Linked DNA regions of Arabidopsis thaliana. The protein of the gene in region 4 interacts with the protein of the main gene of each other region in a pairwise test. Each region holds a gene or a part of one and is shown on either strand. Other genes may lie near its edges.

Region 1 (6,972 bases), on a different chromosome or scaffold from region 4:
CAATGAAAAAGTTCATCTAATTCAAGTCTTACCAGAGTGGTTAGAGAGGTAATGTGCTTCAAACGCGTCAAGATCTCTGACTCTCTCATGACATTTTTGACAAGCAAGAACTCCGAAACCGCAGATGTCAGAGCCAACAACATCAAATCTCTCTGAACAACGACCGGGAAGTAAATCAGAAGAAGATGCTCCGCTAAGCAAACCTTTGAATCTGTCTGAATAACCTGCATTCTCCTCAAATTTCACTGTGTTTACAAACCTGGAGCTCTCAAGAGACCGTGAGCTGCAGCAGCTTACATTCTGCATAGCTCCTTCATCTCCATTAGTTACAAAGACATCTCTCAGATTCGACATTGATCTTCTTGAGCATCCAGATGGATTCTCCTTCTTCTGAATTTGGATCTTGTCTGGATCACAAGCTACAGTTGACTTCTGTGCCTTGCAGCAGCTAAGAGACTTCTTGAGATAAAGCCAAACCCCACGCATGTTTGTTCAAGATCCGTCTTTGGATTCACTGGGAGAGATGTGAATTATAAAGATATTCTATGAAGATTTGGCTTTGATTCGGACACAGCTCTGTTTCTGTTTGTTCCTGCTTCACCATATCTACACAAACTGTTTCCAAAATGAGACTGAAGATTTCCATAAACGTATGATATCATGTCACACCATGAAAGAACAAACTAAAAAATCTTTTTTAGAAATAGAAAATTACAACTAAAATTTGACGTTTATGTTAAAAAAAAATGATCAAATCTTAACCCTGTATGATTCTTTTCCAATTACAACCTGGAAAATTATAATAATTTTTAGCATAATATGATTACAGAAAGAAAAAAAGATATGGGAATAATAATTTTCACCTCTCTTCACGTTCCAAAACAGAGTATAACGCCACATGCTGCCTCTATTGAGCTTTGACATTTTTAAAGTAAAAAAGTCAAACATGTGATCAACCTCTTAATTCAATATGAAATTATATCTTTGTAGTAGAATTATTTACTACTATATCCAGTTTACAAGAAAAGCATCCAAACTAATGTCATTATATAGAAAAGGAATGAAACTTTACTTACTTGGAAAGACCAAAACCGAATCTGTATTCTTTTGTCTTGCAGTGAGAGGCAAGCTTAGGAAAGTAATCTGATGCTGTTTCCTTATTATTTTCCTCTTCCTTAAACTTTCATAGAACAATTGAAATAAATACAGTAATCAAATAAAAATATAAGGTTTTTATTATGAATCAAGGAAAAATGGAAAGTGAACTTGGGTTCTTGGTTTCTGTTGTGATCATATGTGCAGACATTACAGCTACAGTCCTCGGGATCGAAGCCGAGATTGCTCAAAGCAAGGTTCTGTTTTATATTAAGAGTGAAATGTAGTTTATTTTATTTTAACTACCAATAATCTTTTCTTGTATTTGATGTTTATCCTTCAGGCACCTCATCATCATCATCAACAACATTCAAGACATTCAGGTTCTGGATGTCGAAGAAGCCCCAGCGATGGAGCATTTGCTGAGGGAGTAGCTGCAATGGTGCTTCTGTTTATTGTCCATGTCCTAGCTAATGTGCTTGGAGGCTGCACTTACATTCGCTCTAAGCAAGATTTCAAAAGAGCAACGGCGAACAAGATACTCGCTGTGGCTTTCCTTGTTCTCTCCTGGTAATGGAAAAGATAATAGGTTTTTGGATTTCATTCAAAAGACAAATTTGAATTATGTCAGCTGTTTTTGTTTTTGACATACCTTTGTTTGTCTTAGGATCTTTTTTGTTGTCAGCTACTCAACGCTAATGATAGGAACATTAGCCAACTCGAGAACGAATCGACTCTGCAGCTTGCCACATCGTTGGTTTTTTCTTATTGGAGGCATATTTTGTCTAGGACATGGAGTGGTGACTTCAGCATATTATGTTTCAGCAATTGCTGCTAAAAAAGAAGACAAAGAGAATGCGCAACAAGAAAATCTAGCAAATAGAAGCCGCGCATAACACGTCTTCTTCATCAAGATACACAAAATGTTTCATCTGTAAATAAACTTAAATTGCTTCAAAAAAGCTTCCTTCCATTTTGATAAATCCGCAATATTCCAAAATAAACTCTTTCAAGAATCAATAGAAAACTAAAATATAATATAAAAAAGCCAAGAGTTCTAAACAAAAGAGGCAGAACCAAAAAAACAAAAACCATAAATATATCTAAGCGTTTGATCCAAATGCTTCAGATATCTTTGATAGCACTTCAAAAAGAAAACCATGCTTCTGCAAAAAGAACTCAAATTCCCTAGCCTGCATCGCTTTCCACTGCTCGTAAAATCTCTTCATATCCTTTGAGGCAAGCTTACTCAATCCTTGTTGAGCAGTAAGTTCATCCATGCCAAGACCCACTATCGATCTAACAAGAGAAGACTTTGTAAAAGAGACTTCTCCTTCATCCATCACCTCATCTTCACAGTTGTTTTTACTGTTGGGCAAAGAAGAATCAAGTTCATGCTTCACAGACTCAAACTTACTACTCTTCTTCGACTTCTCATTAGATTTCATACCAGATGCAAGAGCCATTCTAATACCTCCCCAAACTAACTTAGACAATTCAAAAGCCTTGCGATCATGAGGTTTGACGAAAGTAGGTTCAACACCATCCTTGGCTTTACCAAGATTGTTCTCATACTTCTTCTTTAAAGCCCTAAGCTTTTCCATAAGCTGATTCTTACTAACATCAAAACTAATAGATTTTTTCACCAACTCATAAACCTTATTCGTATTACTTACCCCTGTATCTTTTTTGTCATCAATCAGACCTTGTAAAACCACAATCTCATCATCTTCAGTCCAAAGTCGCTGGAAATAAGTTTTCTTCGTCTCTTCTCCTCCGCCACCACTCTTCTTCTTCTCCTCTTCCCCTGAAACCTTCTTAGCCCTCTTCACATCCATAGACACTGCTGCTTCATCCACTTCAAGAGAACGTTTAGCCCCAGATTTCTCGGAGGTTTTCACCTTCTTAGCCCTCTTCACATCCACAGGATTCGTCACAACTTGATCTTTCTTCTTCTCGAGTTCAGAGTCTGAATCGGTTTCTTCATCCGAACCAGATTCGGAATCGGAAACGGCGTCGAGAGTCGTCTTCAAAGGTGATGGGTTTTCAGAGGAAACGTCATCTTCATCATCCGAAGAAGAGTTTCGTGCGATTTCTTTACCTTCTTCGTCGCTTGAAGAAGCACTCGGCGGATCTTCTAACGGATTGAAACGTCTCGACATTGTTTTAGGGTTTATGGGACTTTGGAGAGACTTAAGAGGTTGAAATTGAGATTTTTGCTTTGCTGCCTTCACCACTTCGTTCTTAGGGTTTATATATATTGAACAAAGTGTCTCTCTGTTTTCCAAAAATAAATAATCAAAAAATTATTGGAAAACGTATAAAATTATTTATTGTTTTTCCTCTTTTTTTGCATGACGTTTAGATTTCCGATTTCCTTCCTTAAAAATTTGGAAATTAGCTATATTGACCAATTTTATTTCCCTATATTTTATCTCTTACAAATAAATGTTAGATCTCTCTTTTCACAACAACACCCGAATATGACCGCTCATTCAATCGTCGCACACGTTGATAGCGTCCTTCCCAAGAAATCTCGTGAGATCGACCGTCGCCGCCGCAGACGGAAGCGGAAGAAGAAGAACAAAGCATCTCAGGCCGATGTAGATGCAATGGACGTGTCAAAATCTCTGTCAAGCACTCCTACTGGTATTGAGACACCGGATGCAATTGAACTTCGTAAGGAACAGAGAAAGGAACCTGATAGGGCTCTATACCAGGTACTTGAAGAAAAGGGAGAGAGTGTTGTTGCTCCTGGAACATTGCTGAGAACTACACACACATACGTTATTAAGACTGGTACTCAGGACAAGACGGGAACCAAAAGGGTTGATTTGCTGAGAGGGCAAAAGACAGATAGAGTGGATTTCAGTTTACAGCCAGAAGAGCTGGATGCTATGGGAAATGTTTTACAGTATGAGGAGGCAAGAGAAGAGGAGAAATAGCGCAATAAGCCAGTGGACTTGAGTGACATGGTCGTCGAGCATGTGTAGCAGAATAGTAGGAAGAGGAAAATGCATGGCAAGGAAGAGAAGAAAAAGAAAGATTTCAACTTCTGAGGTGCGTTATGGAAGAGACAAAAAAAAAAAGATTTTAGATTCTGGACATGAGACATAGAAAGAGATTCATGTTCCAGAATTATTAGTCTTGAGTAAGAGATCTTGAGTTTTTAGTCTTAATGCTTATTAAAAAAAAAAAAAAATGTTAGACCACCAATGATGTAAATTTTTAAATAGGTGATTGCATCATTGTGTAAACCTAATATTTACATTTTGAAGGATTTGGTCTTTCTGCAGTATGTAAGTTAATTCAATCCCCTTATTATTCTGACTTGTAAGGGGATTCAAACCCCATCAATGGTTTCTAAACTTAAGTTTCTTATTTTAGAGAGATAAGTTTTATTATAAAAAAATGTGTGGGTTTTTTGATTAATGAAGAAACCATCTCCAAAATACTTTATATAAGAAATTTTGGAGAGAATTTCTAAATATTTAAGAAACCCACATAATTAAATAATATTATTTTTGTTGTTTTAATGTTAAGAAACTTATATTTAGAAACCACCAATGAAATTCCTCTAAACATTAACATTGCATATAGTCATAAAAAAAATATCTATTTTCTTTTTGGTTCTCTTTTTAATATAGCTTTCTTGGTCAACACTTATTCTTAAATATCTTAGAAATTAATAAATTATTTCGTAACTCGTTGAAAGATAACTGGCCACACTTTTTGTGTATGACTCAGACATAGTTTTTGTCCACTCGGTCCCATCATGCAAGTAGATAAACACTGAATCACCAAATCTTGTTTGAGATTTAGAAAAAAAGGAAGCTCCAAGAGATGGCAAGAGTTGTTAAAATCGATTCTGCAGAGTCATGGAATTTCTATGTGAGTCAAGCCAAGAATCAGAATTGTCCCGTAAGTCTCTCTTCCTCTTATCACTTTCGTTTTCTAGTAGCCAAAATGAAATCTGATTTAGATCCAAGACCTATGAAAGAATCAAGATCTTAGGATTAGAGTTTTATGGAGAATTTGATTTACAATTGGTTAAATCCAAATTGTGTTACTCTTTAAGATATGAAGTTAGTGAGAATGAACCATGAATATTAATGTTCAGGATTGTGAATGAATGGCTCTGTCTTGTTTGTTTATATGAATTACCAAGAACGGTTGTTCCTTTATGGTTTTTTGCAGATTGTGGCTCATTTCACTGCATTATGGTGTATTCCTTCTGTGTTTATGAACTCCTTCTTCGAAGAGCTTGCGTTTAACTATAAGGATGCTCTGTTTCTAATAGTTGATGTTGATGAAGTTAAGGTAAAACTACTTATGTGTCTCTCTACTTGATATGTCTTTCTACTTTGGCTTCTTTGTTGAAGAGAAGTGTTTAACCATCAAGAGTAAAAGATTTAAACAGTTGCTAAATTGGTAGATGATTAATGGTTTTTCTTTGTTTTTTACTATGTTGGATTGGTCAGGAAGTGGCAAGTCAACTAGAGGTAAAGGCGATGCCAACTTTCTTGTTCTTGAAGGATGGTAATGCGATGGACAAACTCGTGGGCGCAAACCCTGATGAGATTAAGAAACGGGTCGATGGTTTCGTTCAGTCCTCACGTGTTGTTCATATTGCTTAAGAGAGATTTATAGATACGAGCAGAATACTAAATAAAGTTTGTGTGAAGTGTAATTAGTTTGTAACTTTGGTATTTGGTTTGTGTGAAATATCAAGTGTAAGTGTAAATTTTTATAAAAGCAAGTTCTGTTATAAACAAGAACTGGATTTATTTAATTTTGGTTCTTAACAGGGTAATTTGAAACCCATGTAGCGACCAGAGACAAAATCATTCCAAACATTAAAAGCTCCATGGGTTGTCATCAGTACAGTGCTAAGTGCCATGACGATACCAACTGCAAACACAATGATCGAAGCCCTCCCATACTTGGCTATAACCTTCTTAACCACCATTAGTCCAACCAGTGATGCCACGAAACAGACCAGAGCAAATATCGCAGCGGTTCCAGCATGTTCCATGCCTAGTAGTAGGTACTGGATTGCAGACATTGATGAAGAAAACAAAACCATGAACGAACATGTAGCTGCAGTTACCTGTAGAGAGAGCACGATTAACTTAAGAATCCAATTGCTTGTTTTGGTAAAACTTTGGTTCTGATGCTGCTAGAGAACAAGACTCAAGAACGTACCTCTGGAGCAATACCGATTTGGAGAAGAAGAGGACTAATGAGCATTCCACCACCAATACCAAAGAGGCCACCCAAAACTCCAGCCAAGAGAGCCATTACAGGGAGCATCAACTTGTTTTGTCTTCCTCCAACTCCAGTCTCCTGTGGAGTAATTTCAGTTTCATATTCATCAAACCTGTTGACTTTTGACCAACAGAAAAGCTAATTTAATCAACAGCAAGTAGTATGTATTGGACCTGTTCAGAGTTTTGGTTACTATGCGATGTGTGGTTGCTTTGAACATTGTCACTGAAGTAAATGCAGAGAGTAAAGAAGATAGTGAGAGGTATTTGAAGCGAGGAGAGGAACCAGTAGAGAGCTCCACATGGCTTGATCGATATGATTCCCTGTGCAAATCCAAAGTATATCAACTTCTTACTTCTACATGCCATTAAGATTTCAATAATTTGGAAAGAATTATAACACTTCAAGGAACGTTCAAATAAGTGGAGGGAATGTGGAAACAGAGCAATGAGAGCATTGAGATAGAAAAATATTCAAATCAATCGACCAAAAATCATAAATACGCGTTTAGATACTTAAATTCATACCTGACCGTATTTGTTTCCGCGGAAAAGATTAATAGAGAAGAACAATAACCAAATGATCACTAAAACTCCAAGCTTCATCCAT
Region 2 (8,214 bases), on a different chromosome or scaffold from region 4:
TCCGTCTCCCAATCCGCCGAATTATCGTTAAACGCTTCCCACCCCGGTCCAGACGCACTCTCGGTCCCAACGACACCATCAAATAACGCTAACGCCAAACTATCACCAACCGTTCCTGCCGTTACACCCGCTTCATCTGTTAAATCCAGCAAATCACCCTCTTGATCTTGTCTTGAAACCACTTCTTCAACATCTTTCTTTGTTTCCATTTTCTCTTCTTCTTCCTCTTCTTCTTTCTGTTCCGGTGCGGGTAATGCTTTGATGGAGTTTAAATCTTCTTGATTTTCTTGAATATACTCTGTTTTGCTCTCCTCCTCCTCAGATTTGTTAGACCTTTTTGATGATGATTTTGTTGTTTGTGCAGCTAAAGCTGATTTATCTCTTATAAACTCATCCATGAGATCAAGTTTCTTCTGTGTAATCTTTTCCAATTCTGGATACTCTGAAGATCTTGCAACTGCCATGTTCTTACACCATCCGTAAAACGGATCTAACTCGTCAAACTGTTTAGAAACTCGACAGAAGATTTCATAGACTTTGATGGAATCATGAATGTCTAATTCCATGAATCGCTCTATTAATACTCCCATGATCTCTGTTATATTGTAGTATAACTGAAAACTCTCTTTTACTATCGGATACATAGCCACAATCACCACTCTGTTGTTCTTCGCATTACCTGTTGCAAAAGACCTAACTTATTAACCAAGAAATCCGAAAGTGGAAAAGCGTGTGTTCCAAGGAAATTAATTATTACCTGTTGGACGACAAGCCAAGAACCGATCAAGAAGCTGTTGTAAATGTTGTACTCTGTTGAAGATTTTCTCTGTTTTCATCTCTGCGACTGGTTTAGATTTAACCACAATAGCTTTCGACCGAATATCGTTGCTTGTCCCTCGATGATCATCTTCCTCGCCGGAATCACCATCACCGCCACCACCACCACCACTTTTTTTTTTCCCTCGTCTTCCTTGCATCCGGTAATCAAGACGTTCATCCAAATACAAAGCATAAGTCCGAACAAAAGCAGAGTAATCCCACGAATCAGACTGACTCGCATCTCTGAAATCAGACATGTTAAGCAATCTCGTTCCTCGTCTCGTCGCGAAGAAGATCTCTTGCTCGTAGGCTCTATCTCCATCTGTTAGCAACCGTTGGATCAAAATCAAGGTTTTGAGAGCAACCGACCAGTTCTTGGTCTTGTTGAGCCGTCGCGAGAGAGTTGCCACACAAGCGCTTACGTAATTGCGTGAGTAAGAAGTTAGGCATAAAATCTCTCTAATGTACTTGTCCTCCGCTGGATAGTCATCATGTCGCGTCGCTTTCACGACAGCTATTTCGAGTTCCGTTAAAGAACTGCTTCGACCACCGACTTTGGCTAATCCTACGCTTGTTTGATCTTTCACGGCTCCTATGGCACGTTTTAGCTTACTTGAACCCATTTTGACTTACGTACGCCGTTAAACAGAGGAAGAGAGAGGAGAAAAAAATTGGAAGAACGACGACTTTTTTCTTTCACTTGTTTGTCGTCGTCTCTTTTTCTCCTCTGTTTTTTTTTTTTGTGTTTTCTGACGAGAAAATGTGAATGCTTGATCGATCTACCATGGAAATCGCCGAGGTTGTCGGAATTTAATGATAGGGGAAATTAGTAAAGCCATGTGAGCTATCTTTTTTAAAATTGGATAAAAACAGATATACACTCTGTTATTAGCTATAAATAGAAAGACGATTCTCAAATAAGAATCTTGTAATGTTATAAGACAGAGCTTATATATATATATAAGCCATGAGACTGTATTTTCACAAGATGTTTTCTCATGATTCGTAACTTAATAACACTTACAAATTACAGATGCATAGACATTAATATAGTGCGAAACCCGCTTCTTGTTTGATCAGTCCACGCATTTTTTCGGCCTGTAAAATGAGCAAAAAAAGGGGAGACAGGAATCTGATATGTATAAACAGGGATCATAGTACTTCAAATGGTTTTAAATTGTTCAATGGTCTTAAAAGAAAGAGCCATGTTTTAGCTTACCATGCTGAATCGTTCTGAGGTTCGGTATTCCAGCCATACGGGTTGGCGCTTGGAGTAACATGGTGATTTTGCCCATTTCTAATTCTCTGCAAGGGAGAGCTGGTTTGGGATGGAGGAGCAGCGAAATTGTTTCCGAGTCTTGGAGGTAGAATGGTTGGGATCCCGATGTTTTGGTTTGACATATGGTTTAGGTTTGAGTGTGGTTGATAAGCTGGAATAATGCTAGAAGAATCCATCCTGTTGTTACCAGTTATTGGCATTCTGTTGTTGTTGTTATGTCCACTTGATCTTCCGAGAAGCATCGGATTCATTCCTGTTACTCTCTTCACGGTTTCTTCCGCCATTTTCACCTTAACATAACATGGGAGTTACTAAAACTGTATACAAAAAAAGGGTAGTTCAGAAAAAGGAGAGGAGGATAATACTTAAGTCTTCTTACCTTAGCTCTTAATGTCTCAATGTCAGCCTTTAGTATTCTATTGCCAACAGCAGCCTCGTCATACTTGTGATTCATGTTGCTCAGTTGTTTAAGAAGTGATGAATGCTCACCTTTTAGATCATTAACCTATCAAAATACAAATTAGGTCTCATTAATATCCTTCAACACAAAAATGAGGTGTTGAGAGGATACAACACAAAACCTGTGTTTCGAGGTCACTTGTTTGCTCCTGCTTTCTCCTTCTAGATCGCCTAGCTGACTCACGATTTGACAGCATCCTACAAATATTAAAAGGAAGAACAAGGCTCTATAAATGTAATCTTCAAACGACAAGAAATTGGAGAAAAAGTAATGATTACCTTCTAGATTTTTTAACGTCCTCTGGCTTCAAGGAACCGGTGGTTTCATTCTCTTCATCAAGGTCCTCGTCATCAGAATATTCTCTCGACGATCCACTAGTAACCTGCTTCATTGATACACCAGTTTTTTTCACCTCAGCTGGTAAGGAAGAAGTAACACCAAGTTCTCCTGGGGTCATCAAAGAACCTACCACGATTAAAACTTACTATGTCTAAGACTCAGAAGAGATATCTGAAAGAGAAAGACGAGCGCTGAAATAATGATTTCCCATATATTGAACTAACCACCAGAACTCATCTCAATCCCAAGCTTATTGTTCTTCCAGAAAGCAGTTTAATTTCAATGAGAAAGTCAGTCACAAAAAGATTGAAACTTGACGGATAAAACTAGGCGCTTGATCCAACAAAAGTACCATTTTCTATTTCTAATTCCTTAACCTAGGCATCTAAATTAACAAACACAGAACAGAGAAACGAATCTGCAGGTTTATCATCGCTCATCTATCCTGGTGAAACTAAGAAGAGACTCTTACCTTGAGTAAGAGGACTGGATTGAACTGGTTGAAGTTGAGTTTCTGGAGAACTAGTCGAATCTTCAGGCTTCACAGACCCAACCTAAGAAGAGAACATCAGAGCTTCAGATTTAGATCAAAACGCACAAATTACACATATAGATAAGAAAAATAGAAGATTAACAACACACCCGAAGAGAAACAACAGTAGCGCACTCAGTCTCAAGCTTGTTCTTAAGAACACGACGATAATCATCGGAATCAACAATCACCGTCTTCGTCGTCATGGGAGCAGCACAATCCAAATTTCCCGAATCGCGATCACGAAATCGACTATCATCCTCGAAATCATTCTGTCCGGAAACAGAAGGAAGAGATTGCGCCGAAGAAACACCGACGATCGCGTTGTTGTTGTTACCAAGTGGCTCAGAGCTCACCGCCGACGAAGAAATCTCTTCGAGAAACATCTCGAAAGTCCATTCCGGTTGACTCTGGCTAACTTCATCCGCCGTAACAGGCTTAGAAGAGTCGGGATTGAGAGGAATCGGAGGAGTTTCCCAGAAAGGATCGGAGAAATCGTCAATGGAGAAGATACTGTTCATCGCTCGCTCTCTTTTTCACTTTCTGATTCTTCTTTTTTTGTCGGTACTTTGCCTATTTGCATTTAGGTCCACCCACACAAGTATATTCTCTTTTTTTATTACGTACAATAAAATAAACATTTTTTCTTACACATTTCTGTTTTATTTCTTTACAATATTCTTTGAATAGTTTTTATAATTTAAATATCTATTGTATAACGTCCACTAATGTTTACATGAAAAAACGTAACAGTTTTTGCAAACATTGTTATTTAATTATTCTTCAAAGTTTGATTTATTCAATGAACAACGAAGTTGACATAAAACATTAGATTATATTTTAATTTATAAAAAAATACTATATTATACTGGTCATTAAAAATTTATAAAATGTCACCAGAAGCTAAACAAATAAATCACTAAGCTATATTACAAATTTACAATAGACAAGCCTAAATTATAAAAAAAAAATATATGGAGTTTTTTAAAAATCTAAATTTACCACAAAAAGCTTCTAAAAATAATTAACGAACTAGATCATTTTTTCGCGCCATATGTAAATTTAAACAGTCATTTTCAATTTTCATATATATGGAATTTACTCTCTATTTCTTTTTGACCTTAACATAGTGTCACCAATACCACAAATCACCACTATGTAGGCTATATTACAATAGAGAACGAACCAAAAGAATACAAAAAAACAAACCATATATATATTTTTCAAGCAATCCCCAGTTTTAATTATTGCAAAATTACAAGAATCTACACACATTTTTTTTTTTTTTGTGAAAGGGCTAAGAATCTACACACATAAATATACACACACAAGAAAAAACTTCTAAAAATAGTAATACAAAATTATAATGCCAAAGCTTCTTTCTTTTTTACTAGTTCTGCTTATTCTCCAAAGCTAATTGGTCATTGTTGATCAGAACAGAATTACCACTCTCATCCTCTGATTCATTCACATTTGTCTTCCTCCGCGGTGACCTTCCCTGTTCTATTCCTCCTCCTCCTCCTCCAGAGTTTCTCCGATCATCTTTAGAGACCAAGTCCTCAGCTTCAAGCATATGAATGATATGACCCATTTTTGGCCTCTTTTGAGCATTAGGATCAACACATCTTAAAGCTACCAAAAGGGTACGCTTCAATGACCTTAACGACGGTTTATCAACCATCCTCGGATCCAAAACTCCTTCCGCATCTCGATTCGTCACCAATCTCTTCAACCATTCCACAAGATTCACTTCTCCCGGAGCCCGGCTATAATCCACAGGACTTCTCCCTGAAATAATCTCCATAACAAGAACACCGAAGCTATAAACATCGCTCCTCTCATTCAACATTCCGGTACTCGCGTATTCAGGAGCCACATACCCAAACGTACCCATCACACGAGTAGTCACATAGCTCATCTCCGAACCCAAGAGCTTAGCTAACCCAAAGTCAGAAACTTTCGAGTTCCATTGCTTGTCAAGCAAGATATTACTCGATTTAATATCTCGGTGAACAACTTTAGGCTCAAGACCTTCGTGTAAATACATTAACCCTTTGGCTGTTCCAAGAACAATGTTCATCCTAATCTCCCAAGTAAGAGGACTCTTAAACCCCAAACCACCACCATGAATCCATTGTTCTAAATTCCCATTATCAACATACTCGTAAACTAACATCCTATGAGCTCCTTCAACGCAATAACCAAGCAATCTCACCAGATTCTTGTGTCTTACGCGTCCAATAGCTTCGACTTCGACTTTAAATTCTTTCTCAGCTTGTCCTCTGTTGTTGAGCAGATTCTTTATAGCCACCATTGATTTATCCTCAAGAACACCTCTATACACAATCCCATAACCTCCTTGTCCAATCACATTCTCGTCAGCAAATCCATTAGTAGAAACCTCAAGCTCTCTCAACGTATACCAATGTCCCCAACCTAAATGAGAAACCTCAGGACCCGACAACATAAGTAAACCCTGATCACCCGACCCGGACCCAGACCCGGAACCAGTCCAACCTCCTCGTTCCGGGTACGCAATCCGATGATCTTTACCAATTTCGATGTGAATTTTGTTATCGTCTTCTCTTTGTTGGTTTTGGTGTGGCTCCGGTGTTGGGTCGGGTTGAATTGGAGGTCGAATCTCTTGAATCTCCTTGGAAACAACGGGAACAATCGTATGGTTAGATTTAGAAGAAGACTCAAGAGATTTGTTCTTGTTGCTTCGTCGGTAAATGAACCAGAGAGAGATGAGAACGAGTAAAAGAACGATCGCGGCTCCAACGCAAACGCCGAGAACAACCCATAAACGTAAACCAAAAATGGAAGTGTGTCTCGAGAGCTGATTGTTGACTGAGTGAGAATCCGCCATTGCAGCTCACTGACTCTTCTTCTTCTTCTTCTTCCTCTGACTCTCTCTTTTTGCTTTTGTTCTGCTTCACATATAATAATCATCACAGGAGGTTTTTCTGAAGTAGAGACAAGAAAAGAGATGTCGAAAAGACAAACGTACCCTCGAAGAGGCAAGCTGGCTTTGATGGGACTTGCACTCATCATTATTTTTAGTATATATTTACACTTTTGCCACTTTTACTGTTAATGAGCAATTATTAAAGGAGGGTAGTATCGTTATTAAAGGTATAGTCAGGGGTAATATTGTCAATTGAATCGTGTTCTGAACAAGTTTTTTTTTTGCGCGTGGTCTTTGGTTGTGATTTACACAAATCTATCTATCAAATCAAATCGAAGAAGGAGAGAAGAACAGAGAAAAAGAGGTAATGAGTAAAATCTATGAGCTTTTGCTTTATCTTCGAATCTAAGATCAGGAATTGATCAGGGTTTTTACCCAATTTCGATAATTGTCTTCTTCGCTGGATTGATTTTTGTTCTGGAATTGTTTATCGTGTGTAGTTGAATCAAATATGGCTGGGAGAGCTACGATCCCTGCTCGCAACTCTGCCCTCATCGCAATGATCGCCGATGAGGTAAATTCGTTACCAAAAAACTCATCTTTTTATATGTTGATGAAGGATTTGAGGTTCCATTAGTTTGATTCTTTAGATAATTTTGATTTTTCATTTGGATCTTCTGTGTTGAGTTTTGAATCTCTGAGATGTGATCTGAACTAAATCAATGCGTTGTTTGTATAGATTTATTTATCCGTAAACTGCTTGACTTTTTGGATTTGTTTGTGGAATTTTTAATCTTTTTGGTAGTGATTCAAGCCTTAGAATAGCTTTGTCCGTAGTTCTGTGTATTTCTTGATTTGGGATCAGACCAAATCTGCAGATGATCTGATCTGCTATTACTGAATTTTGATTTCAGCACGAATCAGGAAACTAAGGAGTAGAAATCTTCCTAGAAACTGTATTAACATTGAATAACAAGAGGTTTAGGTTTTTTAATGTTAGTCTTCACAACTGTTCTGGCTTAACAATTGGATTTACTCCATTGTATTCTATCAGAAAATCATGTCTAGTCTCTTATTTTAGACTTAACTTGCATTTTCTTCCTTGTACAACGACTTGTTACTGGCAGACACTTAATTGGCCAATGGTGGCAGAATTGTTTGGAACTATCCGTTGATATAACCCTTTAGCAATCTTCAATGCCACTTACAAGACTTAAATTTTGTGTACAGGACACTGTTGTTGGATTTTTGATGGCTGGAGTTGGTAATGTTGACATAAGGAGGAAGACAAATTACCTCATCGTGGATTCAAGTATGTTTTTCTAACTCAATATGATCTTGAGGAAAGATAATCTTTTCAATCATGAATCAAGTTATGTCACTTATCTCAAAGTGGTATCCTTTTGACAAAATCAAGTTAGTTGAAGTTTTTCATCTAATCAATTTCGTGTGGAATTGTTAGGAGATAACTTTCTTAACTTCTATTTCTGTAGAATTTGTATAAATTACCCATCTAGTCTTCTAAGTTAATTGATTTTTCTTTTCTTTTGGTTTTGTCTTTTCAGAGACAACTGTGAGACAAATTGAGGATGCTTTCAAGGAATTCTCAGCAAGGGATGATATCGCTATCATTCTTTTAAGCCAATATGTAAGTGTCTTCTTCCAAATCCAGTTTACTTGTAATGTTACTCATCTTAACTGCTATGTCTGTACTGTCTTGTTTAAGTCGTAATCAAAGGATTCATGACTTGTACTCCTCCACTTTATTGAGCCCCTTATGTTTAATGCCATTATTGACTATCTTACTTGCTTCCACGCACCCTTTTCATCATGGATCAAAGTCACCATTATGTAGGGTAGTTTTGCTATCTTTTTCC
Region 3 (8,256 bases), on a different chromosome or scaffold from region 4:
TCAGATGGGAATGGTGTAAACCCTCTCTCCTTTAAAAGCTTAACAAGTTTAGGCCTGTACAAACTACGGATGTCGATCGGGTTGTCTTCAACTTCACGGATATATCTCTGTTTGTTTTCTAGTTTCACCAGCTGCACCAGACAGTTTAAAGTTAAACTGTTGTCTCAATCAATAATATGTCGACAATAAATTTTAGACTTTTCACAACCTTTGTCTCGATAGAGTCTGTGTCCACAGCGTTGAGTTCGGCGGCAGCCTCATCTTCTTTCTCCAGTATAAAACGGTAAAGCTTATATGTGAGTGAGGCCATGGTTGAATTTCTATTTATCTCTTCCAAACTCCTCACCACTAAAACGGAAAATTGAACAGAATCAGAGTTTTAATATTTTTAGAAACTAGGAATAACAGAATAAACAAATATTCGCGTACCTTTCTTTAACTTCTCGATCGTATCTTCCAGTTGCGATGTCATCACATCGTCGATGTTGAGTATGGAAGTATCGTCGATGTTGAGTATGGAAGTACCTTCTATAATCTCACGGGTAGTATCTTCCAGTTGCGATGTAGAGGCAGCCATGGTAGGGATCGAGTCTGAGAAAGTGTAGATCTCACGCAAGGAAGAGCAGGGAGAATAAGAGGGAAAATTAGGGTTTGTGGGATGCTTAATTCTACATTTTGTTTGGGCTTTTTAGTATATAAGATAAATTTGTTGGTTTCTTTTTCGGCCCCTTATTTTTATCTTAGAAGAAAAACTATAATGGGCCTCAGGACCAGGCCTGGGAATACTATAATTTATTTATTCATCTGATAATCTGATATCATCAAGGCATATTTAAAATAATATGTTTGGGTAAAGTTGAGATAAAGATATAATCATTGATAAACTTAATCAAAGTAACTTCGATCCTACTACATTTTCTTCAGATATAGCGTGCAATTCAAGAAAATACAAGTTAAGAGAGAAAATAATTCTACGTATGTAAAACAAATATATAGTATACAGGTAAAATTTATATATGGGGCTGTACTATAGTCTTGAAGAGTGAAGACGCGAACAAGTTGCAAAAAAAAAGGAAAAAAATAGAGAGACGTTGCATCAACAGCTAGGTTTTAGGTGTAAGGCTATCAAAGGGGACCAAGAAAAAAAACACACCAAAGAAGTGTCTCGTAAGAAACTAAAGGGTAAAAAAAAGTGAAAATCACAAATCTGTTCACATTTTTTGAAACAATATATAAAAGAAGTGTCCAACATTCAAGACCGAGAAGGAGAAGCACCTCCTTCATCAAATACGACGGTGATTCACTCAGATGGATCAGCATTTCCTTTGTTTTCTCCTCAGGAAATCATTAGCATTGTGGTCGACTAGAGGAAGAGTTAAGAGATGAAGAAGAAGAAAGAATAATCAATGCCTATACACTAAATTAGTTTAACTTAGACGATCTTTACTTATTATCTGATATTCTGATTATTTGATAAAGAAGTTCAAATTCGACGTTTCTTACACAATTGCCTTTAATCTAAATATATATCATAAATTAAGATATTTACAGTATACAATTATTTATACATTACAGAAAACAGAGTCCATGTAGCCATATAATGCTATATTAACTGCTCTTCTCCTTACCTACTCTTCGACTGCTTGAGCTTGACCATCGAGATAACAAATAATTTGGTTTTTGTTTTGGGAAAGTCTATCTGAAGTAAGATCCTCTTTCGAACCATAAAAATTACAAATATGTATTATCAAAAAAATGTTGACCACAAAAAGAAATTAAACATAGATTGGGCTATTAGTTTACTCAAGTGAGTAGGTCACAAGGGAATATCTACTGTTTCTTAATACTGTGTTAACCTCCTGCATTTATAATGCTATCATTATTTATTTTATTGGGTTCTCTTACGTCAAATAGTTTATTATTGGCATTTGTTCATTTGCTTTTTGCAGTTATTAAAAAAAGATGATATGCGGTATTACCAAACATTTTAGAAAATAAATAAAAGTTTTGTAATAAATGATTGATAAAACAACAACGAATTTTATGGTAGGACATATGTTTTTCTGTAGAGAAAAACAAATCCATTTTGGTGTTCGAAAGCAGCCATAAATTTCAGATCAATAGAAAAATATAAACAATTTGGAAAAGAAATTGAAAAATAAAATAAAGAGGATGATATGTATATAGAATATCAAACACTCTACTATTGTGTTAATTAATCAAAAGGGGATAAATGTGGTATTTAAAGTGTCAAAAATATAGCATAAATGGAATGAAGGTGATAGAAAGTAGGGAGTGTGCATTTTAACCTTGAAAAAGTACGGATATTAGATATTTAAAGTCATAAGAATATTTTTCTCGTTATGAAAAAAATGCTAAGCAAACAAACAAATTAACCGTGAAAAATATATGTTTAAATTAAGATAAAGTAAAGCAAATTTCTAAAATTTGGCAAGGTCAATATCAACATTGTAATCTGTTTGGCCATTGTTTTCAGTTTAAGACAATTAACACTTTGGCACACTAGAATGTATTCAAAACTTCATAAATTCAAGTAATTACAATTATATAATGTTATTGCTTCGGTTCATAGCTTGGTGATAATCTTTTACTTCAACTATCTGTAATTAAGACAGGAAAGGATCTTATTAATTAGATTTAGTTACTGTCATATGCAGATATGTCTAAAAAGACGTATAGATAGACCTACAATTTCTAGATAGTAATAAATACTACTATTAAACAGTAGTAGCAGGTGTAATAGTCTTAGCATGTCTCTGATAATGATTTTTAATGTATAATTATTACTTTGCATACTTTATAACATCTTCTTTTTTTTAACTAATAGTTACACACATGATAAGTCCGTAGATATGAATACTCGAAGGGGAGAGTTATTTTGATTTAAGTTTATACAATTTTTTCATACGGTTAAAATAGTCAATAAGTCTGTAGTTAATTTATTAGTAGAAATTGATCAACTCACTATCTTTTTAGTTTGATCTTAAGGTCTTTACATTTTTGGGTGTGTCTTTTATTCTTTAGTTTATTCTTTAGTACATTTTTGGGTGGGAAATTTTAAAAAACAAGTCATGTCAAATAGGGCTAAAATTGAAGTTCCACTAAAATAAATAATTTGTATGAGATAATAATCAAAATATTGGAAGTAACAGAAATAAATTAACAATTGTGAAATTTACGTTTAGTCATGTCATTTTGGTGGACCTGTAACAATCAACATAATTGATAATTAGTTATTTGATGAGCCATAATTAATTTATATAAAAAAGGAGAAAAAACAGACTTGAGATAGTAATTAAGAAAACTACAAAACCAGGCAGCATAAATATCTTCTCTGATTTGCAACCTGTAACTTCTTGATTAAATTATTTTTCAATCTTACATCATAAATCTCGTTGCTTGAAAATAATGAAATTTAATTTTCTTTTGCTGAGTCTTACAAATGAATATGAAGCAATGAAAAGTAACTAAAAATCCATCACAGGAGTAAAAAATTGGAAAATGGAAAAGATGAAACAAAAACGAAAAGAAAATCAAGGAAAAAAAAAAGAGAGGTGAAAGGTGTAGAAGGTGGTGGCGTGTAGTAACGAAGTCTCTGTCAAAGTTTTTGATAAATTAATCATGTACTGTGCTGACACTCCAAGATTTGAAACAGCCTTATCGATATAATATCCATTTTTCTATTAAAAATAAAAATTGAAACTCTTCACTTTCCAAATAACTAGTGTATATGTCTAATAATGTATCCCTCACTATACTACTATTGTTTCGATTAGTCATTGTACGTATAATAAATTATTATGTATCCCAATTTCCAAACACAATAATAAAAAGAAATTTCAAGTTCGTAGATAAAAAAAAAGATACAATCTGAATCCTCTCTTTTATTTTCATCACTGACAGAGAATACCACTGCACTTTTTCTCATGCACGCACGCATACTCAGATAGAAACAAGAGCCCATTCCTCGTTTCTTTAATAATTTAATTCAAAGAAATACGGACACTTCATGATTAATTTTAATTTTGTAATTTTAAAACAATCTCGAGTTATGTAAAAAATATATCGATAAACTCAAAAATGTGATGTAATAATCTGCTTTGGCTTTGCTCTCTTTACTACAAGACAAGGCAGAGAAAACCACAGATTCCTATGAAAGAGTAGACGTACCTGTCTTTTTATTATTACTAAATTTATAATTATCTTCTCTACGACTTTCTGGTTTTTAATCTTTTAATAATTATTTTACTTTCACTACCCCAAAAAAAAAGCTTCCCTCTATTTCGCCGTTTTAGATTTACCAAATCCCAATGTATAAAAAAAATAAACTAATAAAACCAAAAAATAATATCCATCCACATTATTACCACGCCCCTTACTCAAGAACCATCCATTATATTAACCTATTTATCTTCTTCTTCAAAACATTTGAGTCTCCTTAGGGTTTTTTCTCTCTCAAACAAAAGCTTTAGATCTTTCTTCTTAATGGACATTCCGTATTACCACTACGACCATGGCGGAGACAGCCAATATCTTCCACCGGGTTTCAGGTTTCATCCCACGGACGAAGAGCTCATCACTCATTACCTTCTCCGCAAAGTCCTCGACGGTTGCTTCTCAAGCCGTGCCATCGCAGAAGTTGATCTCAACAAGTGTGAGCCTTGGCAACTTCCCGGTAAGAAAATACAAAACTAACTTACTTGTAGTTCTTTTGTAATTAAGGTTTCTGAAATCTTTACTCTCAATGTTACTTAGGGAGAGCTAAGATGGGAGAGAAAGAATGGTACTTCTTTAGCCTCCGTGACCGGAAGTATCCGACGGGACTGAGAACTAACAGAGCAACTGAGGCTGGTTACTGGAAAGCTACCGGAAAAGACAGAGAGATCTTTAGTTCAAAGACTTGTGCACTTGTTGGGATGAAGAAGACTCTTGTCTTTTACAAAGGAAGAGCTCCGAAAGGAGAGAAGAGTAATTGGGTTATGCATGAATATCGTCTTGAAGGCAAATTCTCTTACCATTTCATCTCAAGAAGCTCCAAGGTACTTCGATTTAACCTTTCATTAGTTATTTTGTTGATAAAGTAAAGCCTTAATTTTCTTTGATTAATAAATTTACAATCTATTATTTGGAAAAAAAATTCGAGAGTGTGACATAGTCGGTGACGTTGATTTTTTTCTCTTTTGCTTTATTGCATTTAATTTTGATGGCTGAAAAGGCATGGTTCTTTACTGTGGTTATCTGAGAGCATTATGGAACATGAAATAGAAAAGATCTGCTGTTTTTATGTATTGGGATTTCAATCATAATGGTGTTTTCCTAAAGTAAGAAAACATTCAATAGCTCTGATAAAATAAAATATTAATACATCCTACTTTTGGAAAGCTTAATGCAAAAAACCAGAACCAATGCAAATCTTCAGGATTTTTTTCTGACCTAGATATATTAAAAAGAAATTTAATTAAATTAATTTTACTTAATTAGTGTTCCATATCCATTGTAGACTTGTAGTGTCCAATGTACATTCCCTCTGTGCACGCTTTTACTCTATGGTTTTTCTTAATCTTCACTCTCTTTTATTTCCAAGATCTAACATTGACTTTCTCATCAAACATATATTATATAAAATATTTGACTTTTCAAAACTCTAATTTATTCCTTCAGGATGAATGGGTGATCTCTAGGGTTTTCCAGAAAACCACTTTAGCTAGCACCGGAGCCGTCTCCGAAGGAGGAGGAGGAGGAGGAGCAACTGTGAGCGTAAGCAGCGGTACTGGTCCATCTAAAAAGACGAAAGTACCCTCAACAATCTCAAGAAACTATCAAGAACAACCAAGCTCTCCTTCCTCCGTCTCACTCCCACCTCTCCTGGATCCGACCACTACCCTCGGCTACACCGACAGCAGTTGCTCCTACGACAGCCGTAGCACCAACACAACCGTCACAGCCAGCGCAATAACCGAGCACGTGTCCTGTTTCTCCACTGTCCCTACTACTACTACGGCCTTGGGCTTAGACGTTAACTCATTCAGCCGTCTTCCACCGCCGCTAGGGTTTGACTTTGACCCTTTTCCTCGTTTCGTTTCTAGAAACGTCTCGACTCAATCTAACTTCAGATCGTTCCAAGAAAACTTCAATCAATTTCCTTACTTTGGATCGTCTTCTGCATCGACTATGACCTCCGCCGTTAATCTGCCTTCTTTCCAAGGCGGCGGAGGCGTCTCCGGGATGAATTACTGGCTACCGGCGACTGCCGAAGAGAATGAGTCAAAGGTCGGTGTGCTTCATGCTGGACTTGACTGTATTTGGAACTACTGATCACAAAAGAGGTGACTTATAATTGTTCCCGTTAGGGTTTTATTTATGTATTTCTAGGATGATTATGGTATTATGAAATGTGTGTACCGAGGAGCTTAATATTGCACTTAGCTTGATGTTCCGCTTAATTCTCTAGTTTTAAGTTTATCCGGTTGTGTTAATTAGGAGGTAATATGCAAGGAAAATGTTTTCTAGACTATGAACGTGCATATGTATAAGCTATGCTCGTTTTTGTAATGTTTGACATTATGTTAATTTCATGGCTTTTTCATGTTTTATATTTCTCATGATATTTGACATGTGTCCTTGGTTATCAATACAATCATACAGTATATTACCGACAAAATGAATTTCTTCGGTCGCTTCTAGATACCTTAGTTTTCTTCTTGTTAATACAATTTGATATGGCGGTTATATATATGTTTCCGGAATTCAACCGTTCCGAATCTTCGGTTAGATGATTTCCGTAATTACATAACATGGCTAATTATTTAATTTCTTCATCAATTGAAGATGCTCAAATGTAAAACATGCATGTAGTTTTTGTTTATTAATTCTAGCTAATTAAGGTTGACATGTGTAACTGCCAAAATATTTCAAGAAAGTTTCATGCTTTTAAAGTAAGTACTCATAATTCAGTGGATTAATCAGTCTATGAACACCATTTTCAGTTAGGTGTATCTTCTTGCTACAATCGTACACATATGAGACTAAACACAACAATTTGCGTTTGGCTTAATTGATTAAGATAACATGCATGTACATGGTAGTTACTGAAAATAATTTACATACTAATTTTGATTAACTTAATGCATTGTAAACCCACCAAAGAAAAGAAGTAGTTTTGAAATTAAGGATTTTGAAACGGGGATGATGAATATGATGCGCATGCTGACGAACGGACCACTCCCAAATTCAGATCTTGTACAACAGTCCACCTCACTTTCAGAAGGATGGCTTTCACATTTCTATTTTTAGAAAGAGACATAATTAATAATACCTCTGTTTATTACCATTATATATGTGTTTTCATTTCACGTGTGTATACTAGTAGGAGTATGATATATGTATGTGTGTAACACAACCATCATCATCATCATCATCATTACCATCATCAATTATTGCTCTTGTTGCATCACCAACCTATACTACCTAGTCATAAGACAAATTCACAGACTCACATATACGTCTTGCTAAATGGCAAAATTTCATGATGTTTTAGCTAAAGGAATATATGTACACATTTGTATGCTTATTATTTTGGGTTTCATTGGTTACATTTGCAATCACAAAACAAACTAAGGCAAATGGTATTGGTTCAAAAAACATTGACCAACATATATATATATATATATATAAGAAAAAACCCAGCTATTTACACAAAAGAACAGCTAAGTGATGATAAGAACTGACTAATTTTATCACACTATGTATATATAAAAAAGCAGAAAATTCAGCTGGCCTGACTTAAAAAATAAAAATCTTAAACCAAAAGTTACTATATTTTATTATTATTATCAGCTTCAATAACTACAACATTTAAATTTTACTTGCTTTTCTAAAAGATGTCTGATTTTTTGCCCCAAAAACAAATGTCTGATTTTGTACGTCATTACGCCCACACCGATTACGCCCAACAATTATCATGTGATTAAAACAGCTGGAAAGTTTGTGAAGAGGAAAAGAAAAATTATGCCAACTAAATCTAAATCAAAATTTCGCATATAAATCAATTGCATTCAAATGATGTGCCAACGATTTTTTTTTAAACACACATACATGTACACTTTCAAATGAATATATAAAATTAAGCATTTGAGTGTCCTATACTATTTTCAAAATTGCAGAAATACTGCTTTAGCTACATAAAGAGGTAAAAATAAGGGTTGTTTTCTTTGTCGGACTGAAACTAATTTCAAG
Region 4 (7,472 bases):
AAGAATGACACATCAATAGATAGATCTGGGAACAACATCGAGATAATCTCATATTTGGATCAGACAAGACAAGATTTTGTACCTTTTGTCGGACGAGCTACCCTTCTGGCTCAGGAAGGATCTGAATAGACCAGAGTTCACATCATAGATCATCTTCACTCAACTATCTCGTAAGCTTCGATTACCGGAAGAAGGGGAAGATCTGGACAAAATCGATGAAACGGAAGCAGTTTTTTTTTTTTATATAGCTTTTTCGATCTCAGAATTTTGCTTTAGTGGCTGCTACAAGATACGAGTATAACCCTAAGTTTGCACATTCCAACCTTTTTATATTGTCTGGATACGTACTTGAGCCACTTTGGATCATTCTCTGTTTCGGCCTTTTCTCTTTTTATGGCCCAAATCCACCGAACATAACGATTTCTGAATTGGCACGAATTTTTTGCCCTTTGATGAAAGAAAAATCTCGATGGGTTTATCAAAAATAAGAATCAAGAAAAAGAAAATCAAAATCTCTCAACTGCAAGGACCAAGAAGTTGGCGTTTTTGGGTGCAGAAAAACGACACAGCGTGTTACTAATCAATGCCAAAATATTTTACATATGAAACAAAGAAAAGAGAGAAAAGCTTCTTAAATCTTAATCCGAGTCACTAAGGTAAAGTTCTCATGAGAGTAGGGTAACGAGGGAAACGAATTCAAGGGTAACTCTTCCCTTTGATCTCGTGTTGATGACGAAATGCTCCGGGTATTTTCTCAGCAGCATCAGCAAACCGTACCATGGTTTACCTTTTGCTTCAGGGATAGCCCAGTCTTCTTGTGATAGGTATCTTCTTACTCGACTGTGATGCCATACGTTTCCATACTCCTTTAATATCTGTCACAGACCAACCACTACCATGCATTAGCCATCATATTGAATCACAAAGAAGTTCATAGTCAGACTACACTAGTCATTCAAAATCTATGGAGTAACTGACATACTTTCTAGACTTAGACACATATAAGTAGCGTAGCGCGTTTCCATTGGAAAACTAATTAAGGACCTAGCTTCACACTAATTATCACCTTGACATTATACAAGTCTTGTTTCAATTGATTACTCGTACTACATTCTGTATTAGAAAAAGGCAAGGAACTTTCTCATAAAAACTAACCACCGAATGAAGTTTTTCCATAGGCATCCACTCTCCCGGACCACACAAATCGGAAAGCACAGTGGCAACAGACGATACAACATCTTTTTCCTCCAGCTGCAAAAATTGTTGATCATCAGCTTCACGATCTACCTTTGATCTTCCCTCTCTCTTCTTCTCTGCACAAATGAAGCAGATACAATGTCGTGGTGTCACTAGCATTCAAATTCAATCCAAGTCTAACAAGGTTCAATCAGCAACCACCACAATCAAAGTCTAAAGAAACAAGCCTGATGTGATCAAGTAAGCATCATAATCTGAAACATATCTAGTTGCACAATGAAAACTCAAACAATCATGAGCAATCTGGTTTTACCTCCGGAAGCATATACTACTTCATGTCCATCTCTCCTTGTTTTCTTTCCACTTCCTCTCATATCGTCCTCCTCATCGTCGTCGTCATCATCATCTTCATCATCGTACTCATACAACTCTCTACTCCTGACGCCCTTCTTACCCGACCCAGAACCTGGACCCGACTGATAATTATGGTATGGAACAACACTTGTTTGCCCAGAGACGTGGTGCCTAGGTCCCAACGGCCCGCCTAAGATGCTCCGAACCGGTAGGAGAAAGTAGAACTCTTTGTCTCCGATCTGCAAAAGGTCTTGTGAATCGAGCTTGACGTTAGGATTCCCAGGGAGATGAAGAACACCTTCAACGAGGCAGCCATTTTTGCCAAGGACCTCGAGAGAGAAGCGTCGTCTAGTGAAGTCATAGAAGATCCGAGCGTGGTTGCGCGAGATGTTCATCCCACCGCCGAGGGATGAGAGATCAACGTCGACGGTGGCTTTCTTAGAATTCCGGCCGAGTATAATGGAGTAAGACTGCATATAGTACTCGAAATCCTCACCTTGAAGCTTCGCAAATCCAACCTCCACATCGCTTCCGCCACCAACAGCCGTAGCCATGCCGTGAAATTCTCCGATTTGATCGAAAGAGGAACCGGGACTTCCAAATTAGGGATTGCAATCGTAATAATTTGTGAATCGAAGCAAGATTTGTTTGGAAACTGGTTTAGCTTATCCAGGACAAAGGCTTATTTTGTGAAATTGACGATTATACCCATGATTTTAAGACCTGAATAAAAACCCTAATGACACAACTATTTAAAACAGCCGAAGAAACATTGAGAATGGCGGCGAGATCTGTGAGCTTAAAGGTTCCATCTCTCCCGCAAATAGTGGAGCATCTTATTGATTGTTTGAATTTTTTGATTTCGTTTGCTTTAGAACATAGGCTTGGTTAGTTTTATGTAACCTTTTGTTTATTTTCGTTGTTGGTTTGATTGAATAAGTTGCCAAATGATGATTGAAAATTTTGCGCAAGGGTTTTGAGTTTCGGATGATTGGAGTTTACTCTGGTCTGAAGGAACCGTGACAAAATTATTTTCTAATAATTCATTCTGATGGCAGCTCAATCATTGTTAGATATATCAAATTTCAATTCGAGTTTTGGGTGCATGGTTTGATTCGGATGGTTAATTGTAGTTTGTTTTGTTAGTAGAAGCTTGGTTTTGGGGCAGCTTAATGAATTTTAGGATTCAAGTTTTCAAATCATTTAGCCTATAATGTTCTGAAATGTGTTGTGTAATGGCTTTGATTTCCTGAGGATCTGACTATAGAATGTTTAAAATCCTGAGGAACGGTGGGAAATCATGTATTTGTGTTTCTTTTTTTTTTTAAGATTCAGGTTCTACAAATTATGCTTAAAGGGCTTTGAGCTCCTGACCGCTTGTATTATGAGATCCAAGAAAATGTGAAAAGTCGTTTTTTTTTCCTTTCCCATTTTGATGGTTTGGGTTGCATTTTACTGTTCTTTTAGTTATCATGACTATGCTAGATTCTGGTCTGGACATAAGTTGCTTAAGATGTGTGGAAATTATGCGTAATGGATTTAGAATTGGCAATTTGTTATTTGAAGGAATTCACTTCTATAGATATCCTTTAATGGCACCCGTTCATGGTCAGCTCCAAATATGCAAGAAATCGGAAAATGCATTAGTGTAGTCCTCTTTTCTGGTATATTGTCAATACTCAAATCTTACATAAACTTTGTTTCAAGGACAATGAAGCATGTGGTCAAGATTTTGAGCCTGCTGGTAGCTGTCTCTGCCTTTTAGTTTGCTCTCTTGCAGGCTGCAATTATGGCTCGTAGCCAAACATAGTTGGTTAGTAATGAGTCTGTTGTGCTCATTTTTGCTTATTGCTATTCTCAGTTAGTCAATATTAATAATGTATATCTTTGCACCAGCTACCTATATACGTTGTAGTGTCCTTTGCTATTAATTGTTGGAATCGGTTTAGTGCAGTTCCCTACCTCTCCTAAAGAAGCAGTTTTTCTGCAGCGGGTACTTTCAGTACTCTTTTCTTTCTTTGTTAACTCGAATTGTTAATTAAGGTTAAATTAAGTTCTTGACTAGTGCTTTTGCTCCTAGCTGTTGTTAATGTTGATTATGTACTAGTTTGTTTTGGTGCTATTGTTATATTGCAGGATATTGCAGATGCAAAAAGACTTCTTAAGCGCTAACGGAATTGATGTTGGATCGGATTTGACACATTATGGTTTACTTCTTTTCAACTCCCTAACCAGTGTAATAGAATACTTGGAGTCTTCGATGGTTCATAGAAAGAGTTCCCATTTTCATTATGTACAGTCGTTTACTATGTTTTTTTGAGAGATGTACATTGAGAAACCGGTGTTTGCAATTGGATTTTGTTTTGGGGTTTTAAACATGATGAAGAACAATGTTATTCTGATAAGTTCACTTTAATTGACTTTTTTTTTTGGAATATCGTTTGTTACATTTTTTCTCGTGTATACAATAAGTTGTGAATCCAACTCTTTCAAGTTTAAACTACTTGAGATTAACTTAAATGCTCCAATAAAATTGATTGAATTGGATTTTCTAGTTTTGTTTGTTTTGAAGTAAAAAGTTGGACTTGAATGCTGATAAGTGATAATAAATTGACTTGCAACCATAACTGAACCAATCTAACAACATGTAACTATTCCAAGTTTATTATAAGCTAGATTTCTGAAATGGAAATGTCGTTTTAATTTTACATTTTTGCCGAGATGGTTAAAACTGGTAATCATATACATTACAATTTGGTTAAATGACCAAATCTATTTGATAACAAAGAGAGATATAAGTTAATGAAACCATGATTAGACAAATCGACAAGCAAAGAAAACGTTAAGCAAAAAACACTAATCATAATAAGCAAAAAGTCCATCCATGTTCATCACATGTACAAAGATCCTCTCTGTCACTCTAGACTTTTCCTCTGTTTGCTTCTTCTTACAAAATGACACACTTAAACCAAATAAAGAAAACATTTCCCCCAATCTTTATACATTTTCTTTTGAATTAAAGAAAAAAATAAAAGTGATAAAAGAAGAAGAAGAAGTCCCCAGCTAGCTCCTTAAAGAAGCACATCTCTTTACTCATTTCACGATTCCCCTGTCTCTTGTTTCTCTCTCACTTACCTCTTCTCGAGTTTTCTCCCATTCTTGGGTCTTCATCGAGACCAAATCCGGAGAAAGTTGATGTTTTTACAGCACAAACAGACACAGACACATACATGTGTTGTGTCTCCCTAATCCCATTATTACTAACTCGCATCCAATTCACACTTCTCTCCTAAATTCCCATCCTTTTCAGATCCAAAACACTCTCCTCCAAAACCCAGATTGCCAAATTAGGGAATTTGACACAAAACCCATCTGAGAGCATAATCAAGAGATAGAGAGACAATGGGAGTGATATTGGACTCATGGTGCTTTTGTAAAGGAGTTGGCAAAAGCGAGAAGATGAAAGGTTCCATTTTTACCGGCAAAGCTCCGGCGATGGCTCGAATCTCTGTCTCCGGACCAAATGGTGTTACTTCTGGAACTGGATTCCTCATTCACCGGAATCTTCTTCTGACCACTCACCTCAATCTTCCTTCCATCTCCGCCACCGAAACCGCCGAGGTCCGCCTTCAGAACGGTGTCGCTGCTGCTCTCTTCCCTCACAGGTCCCACCTCTCTCTTTACTCTCTCTTGAGTTTGATTCAAAATTTGATTTTTCATTTTCCTGTGTTGTCGGTTGCACGATCCTGGTAAATTTTGATGCAATGCCATCAAAAAAATTGGCTCTTGTTCAAATTTTCAAAAATGAATCCATATCTTTTCGTCAAACCAAAAGAACTTAAAAGAAAAGAGCTTTATACTGTACTTATGTTATATGGTAATGATTCTGGATCTGTAGCTGAATTTGGTAAGTTTTCATTTTAATTTCATAAACTTTAAACCAAAACATTGATATATCATTTTGTGATTATTGGAACATGAAAATTCATTTGTTCAGATATTTCCCAAAATGGAAACGTCTTGATTGCATCAAACATAATAAGAACCAATCTGAATTGTGGATTTGTTTGGTCAATGATGGTGTTTTCTGTTCTTTAGCTATCAGAAAATGAGTGTTATCTTTATATGGTGTCATTTGCAGGTTTTTCATTACGAGTTCAGTTATTGATCTCACTATTGTTGGCTTAGACCTTGTTGATGGAGACTCAAGTTCCCAGAGCCAACTTCAACAACAACCACATTACCTGAAGACATGTTCCAAACCAAACCTGGATCTAGGGAGTGTGGTGTACCTCTTAGGCTATGCCAATCAGAATGAACTCAAGATCGGCGAGGGAAAGTTAGTTGTAGCTACCGACAATCTCATCAAACTCTCAACTGATGAAATGATTTGGAGTCCTGGATCTGCTGGATTTGATGTTCAAGGGAATCTTGCATTCATGATTTGTGATCCGAGGAAACTATCGACATCACCAACCTCAACCTCGTCATCTTCCTCTTCTTCTTTGAAGAAAGATAACAACAAGACACTGATGATGCAGTTTGGTATACCAATACCAGTAATATGTGACTGGCTGAATCAGCATTGGGAAGGTAGTTTGGATGAACATACGACGAAACCTAAGTTGCCTCTCATTCGATTAATGTCTTCTGGTCAGAAGAGTGAGCGTTCTTGTACTTCATTCACCATGCGCCGTGTTTTCAAGCCAAACGACTCTGCTGATGTTGGAACACCATCTTCATCTAACACTAGAGATCAAACTCATCCGAGCTCTTCTATCGCTGCTGAGGAAGAAAAAGAAGAAGAAACCTCAAAAACCAATCCACAAGTCTGCGGAACTACTACTCATGCGCAGGGTATCCCTACCCCTGAGATATATGAATCGCCAAAGTTGACTTCTGGTCCTCTAAGAAATGAGACAGCTCAAGTACACCTTTTGGACATCAACTTTCCTCCACGGATACCTAAAGCTATAACCTTTCATCCTGAGCTCAACTCTCTACAGAGTAACCATATAGTGGAAGAGGCTGAGATTGTCTCTGAAGGATCAGATGCGCAGATTGCTTCGACAGGTTCAGTAAATGGTGCTCTCAGTGAGGTCATCTCAAGTTCACCGCCAGCAGCAGCTCACTATGTATATAACAATCATGGATACAGCAGCGAGGAAGAGACAATGTATTCTGCAGAAACAGCAGAAAGCCGAAACTACCCAACTCCTCCAAGAAAAAGCGAGTTTCATCATGAGAGAGTTGGAAGGAGTCAAAGCTGTGTGAGCTCCAGCAGATGGGGAACTCCTCAGAAGAGTTTGAATGGTAGAAGAGAAATGCTGGAGAAACAGAGAAGCTTCGTCCATGGGAAGAAGATGCATTCACAAGGAGCAATGTCACAGAGGAGTAATGACTATTACAGCCCAACGGTCTCATCTATCATGAAGAAAAGGATTAATAGTTCAGAGCAACAGATTATCAAACCGGTACCTAGACCTAGAGCTGTTAGTTCTTCACCAAGATGGGCGTTCTAAGGTCGATACAGACCGGAGAAAGAGCCACCTTCATAGAAAGAGAGACATCTTTGTTTAGATTTCGATATCTCTCATTCTTGTATAACCAATTTTATTTTAACTCTTGTGCAGACATATTGAAGAAAACAACAAATAGGAAACATAGAATCTTGAATCGATCGGGTTTAAGCCCTTAAAGCAATCATTGATTTTGAGTTCCTGGAAGTAAAAAAGTATTTTCGTTTTTGCTATCAGAACATAGATTGGGCCATGACTGTTGGATGTGTTCTTTGATCTGCACAGCAATGATTTCATGGGAATGATACCAAAAGAATAATCTTTTCATAAGAGGTAACTGTGGACCAACAGAAAAATGTGCAGATGCCATTACTGCCTTCTAGTGAACTTGAGAGAGAACAT

Evidence for each region.
Region 1: the proteins of FHA2 (region 4) and AT1G11510 interact in binary tests that used the Arabidopsis thaliana proteins (3 or more experiments, as listed by UniProt).
Region 2: the proteins of FHA2 (region 4) and BZO2H1 interact in binary tests that used the Arabidopsis thaliana proteins (3 or more experiments, as listed by UniProt).
Region 3: the proteins of FHA2 (region 4) and CUC2 interact in binary tests that used the Arabidopsis thaliana proteins (3 or more experiments, as listed by UniProt).

What each region holds. Positions count from the first base shown.
Region 1 is NC_003070.9:3,869,580-3,876,551, forward strand, and holds AT1G11510 (DNA-binding storekeeper protein-related transcriptional regulator), read right to left. Parts: upstream 3,351-6,972; 5' UTR 3,258-3,350; coding exon 2,199-3,257; 3' UTR 2,144-2,198; downstream 1-2,143. Other genes in the region: AT1G11490 (zinc finger (C2H2 type) family protein), read right to left, coding at 33-486; AT1G11500 (transmembrane protein, putative (DUF1218)), read left to right, coding at 1,239-1,352, 1,439-1,665, 1,763-1,991; AT1G11520 (pliceosome associated protein-like protein), read left to right, coding at 3,450-4,040; CXXS1 (C-terminal cysteine residue is changed to a serine 1), read left to right, coding at 4,939-5,016, 5,293-5,415, 5,577-5,732; AT1G11540 (Sulfite exporter TauE/SafE family protein), read right to left, coding at 5,897-6,205, 6,301-6,441, 6,537-6,686, 6,891-6,972.
Region 2 is NC_003075.7:1,149,767-1,157,980, reverse strand, and holds BZO2H1 (bZIP transcription factor family protein), read right to left. Parts: upstream 4,028-8,214; 5' UTR 3,951-4,027; coding exon 3,540-3,950; intron 3,452-3,539; coding exon 3,370-3,451; intron 3,024-3,369; coding exon 2,837-3,023; intron 2,756-2,836; coding exon 2,680-2,755; intron 2,604-2,679; coding exon 2,478-2,603; intron 2,389-2,477; coding exon 2,039-2,388; coding exon of another isoform or gene 2,035-2,038; exon of another isoform or gene 1,918-2,034; coding exon 1,896-1,917; 3' UTR 1,625-1,895; downstream 1-1,624. Other genes in the region: AT4G02650 (ENTH/ANTH/VHS superfamily protein), read right to left, coding at 1-679, 758-1,442; AT4G02630 (Protein kinase superfamily protein), read right to left, coding at 4,820-6,298; AT4G02620 (vacuolar ATPase subunit F family protein), read left to right, coding at 6,849-6,911, 7,568-7,649, 7,903-7,985. UniProt on the Arabidopsis thaliana protein: Transcription factor that binds to the C-box-like motif (5'-TGCTGACGTCA-3') and G-box-like motif (5'-CCACGTGGCC-3'), ABRE elements, of gene promoters. Binds to the 5'-ACGT-3' motif of seed storage protein (SSP) encoding gene promoters (e.g.
Region 3 is NC_003076.8:21,900,046-21,908,301, reverse strand, and holds CUC2 (NAC (No Apical Meristem) domain transcriptional regulator superfamily protein), read left to right. Parts: upstream 1-4,447; 5' UTR 4,448-4,506; coding exon 4,507-4,696; intron 4,697-4,776; coding exon 4,777-5,060; intron 5,061-5,682; coding exon 5,683-6,336; 3' UTR 6,337-6,598; downstream 6,599-8,256. Other genes in the region: AT5G53960 (Mid-1-related chloride channel domain-containing protein), read right to left, coding at 1-131, 209-348, 430-577.
Region 4 is NC_003074.8:2,292,601-2,300,072, reverse strand, and holds FHA2 (SMAD/FHA domain-containing protein), read right to left. Parts: upstream 2,188-7,472; 5' UTR 2,106-2,187; coding exon 1,511-2,105; intron 1,314-1,510; coding exon 1,156-1,313; intron 876-1,155; coding exon 666-875; 3' UTR 501-665; downstream 1-500. Other genes in the region: AT3G07230 (wound-responsive protein-like protein), read right to left, coding at 83-153; AT3G07210 (uncharacterized protein), read left to right, coding at 4,954-5,216, 5,693-7,073. UniProt on the Arabidopsis thaliana protein: May play a role in the control of plant organ development and specifically in the regulation of stamen development. Does not show transactivation activity in yeast.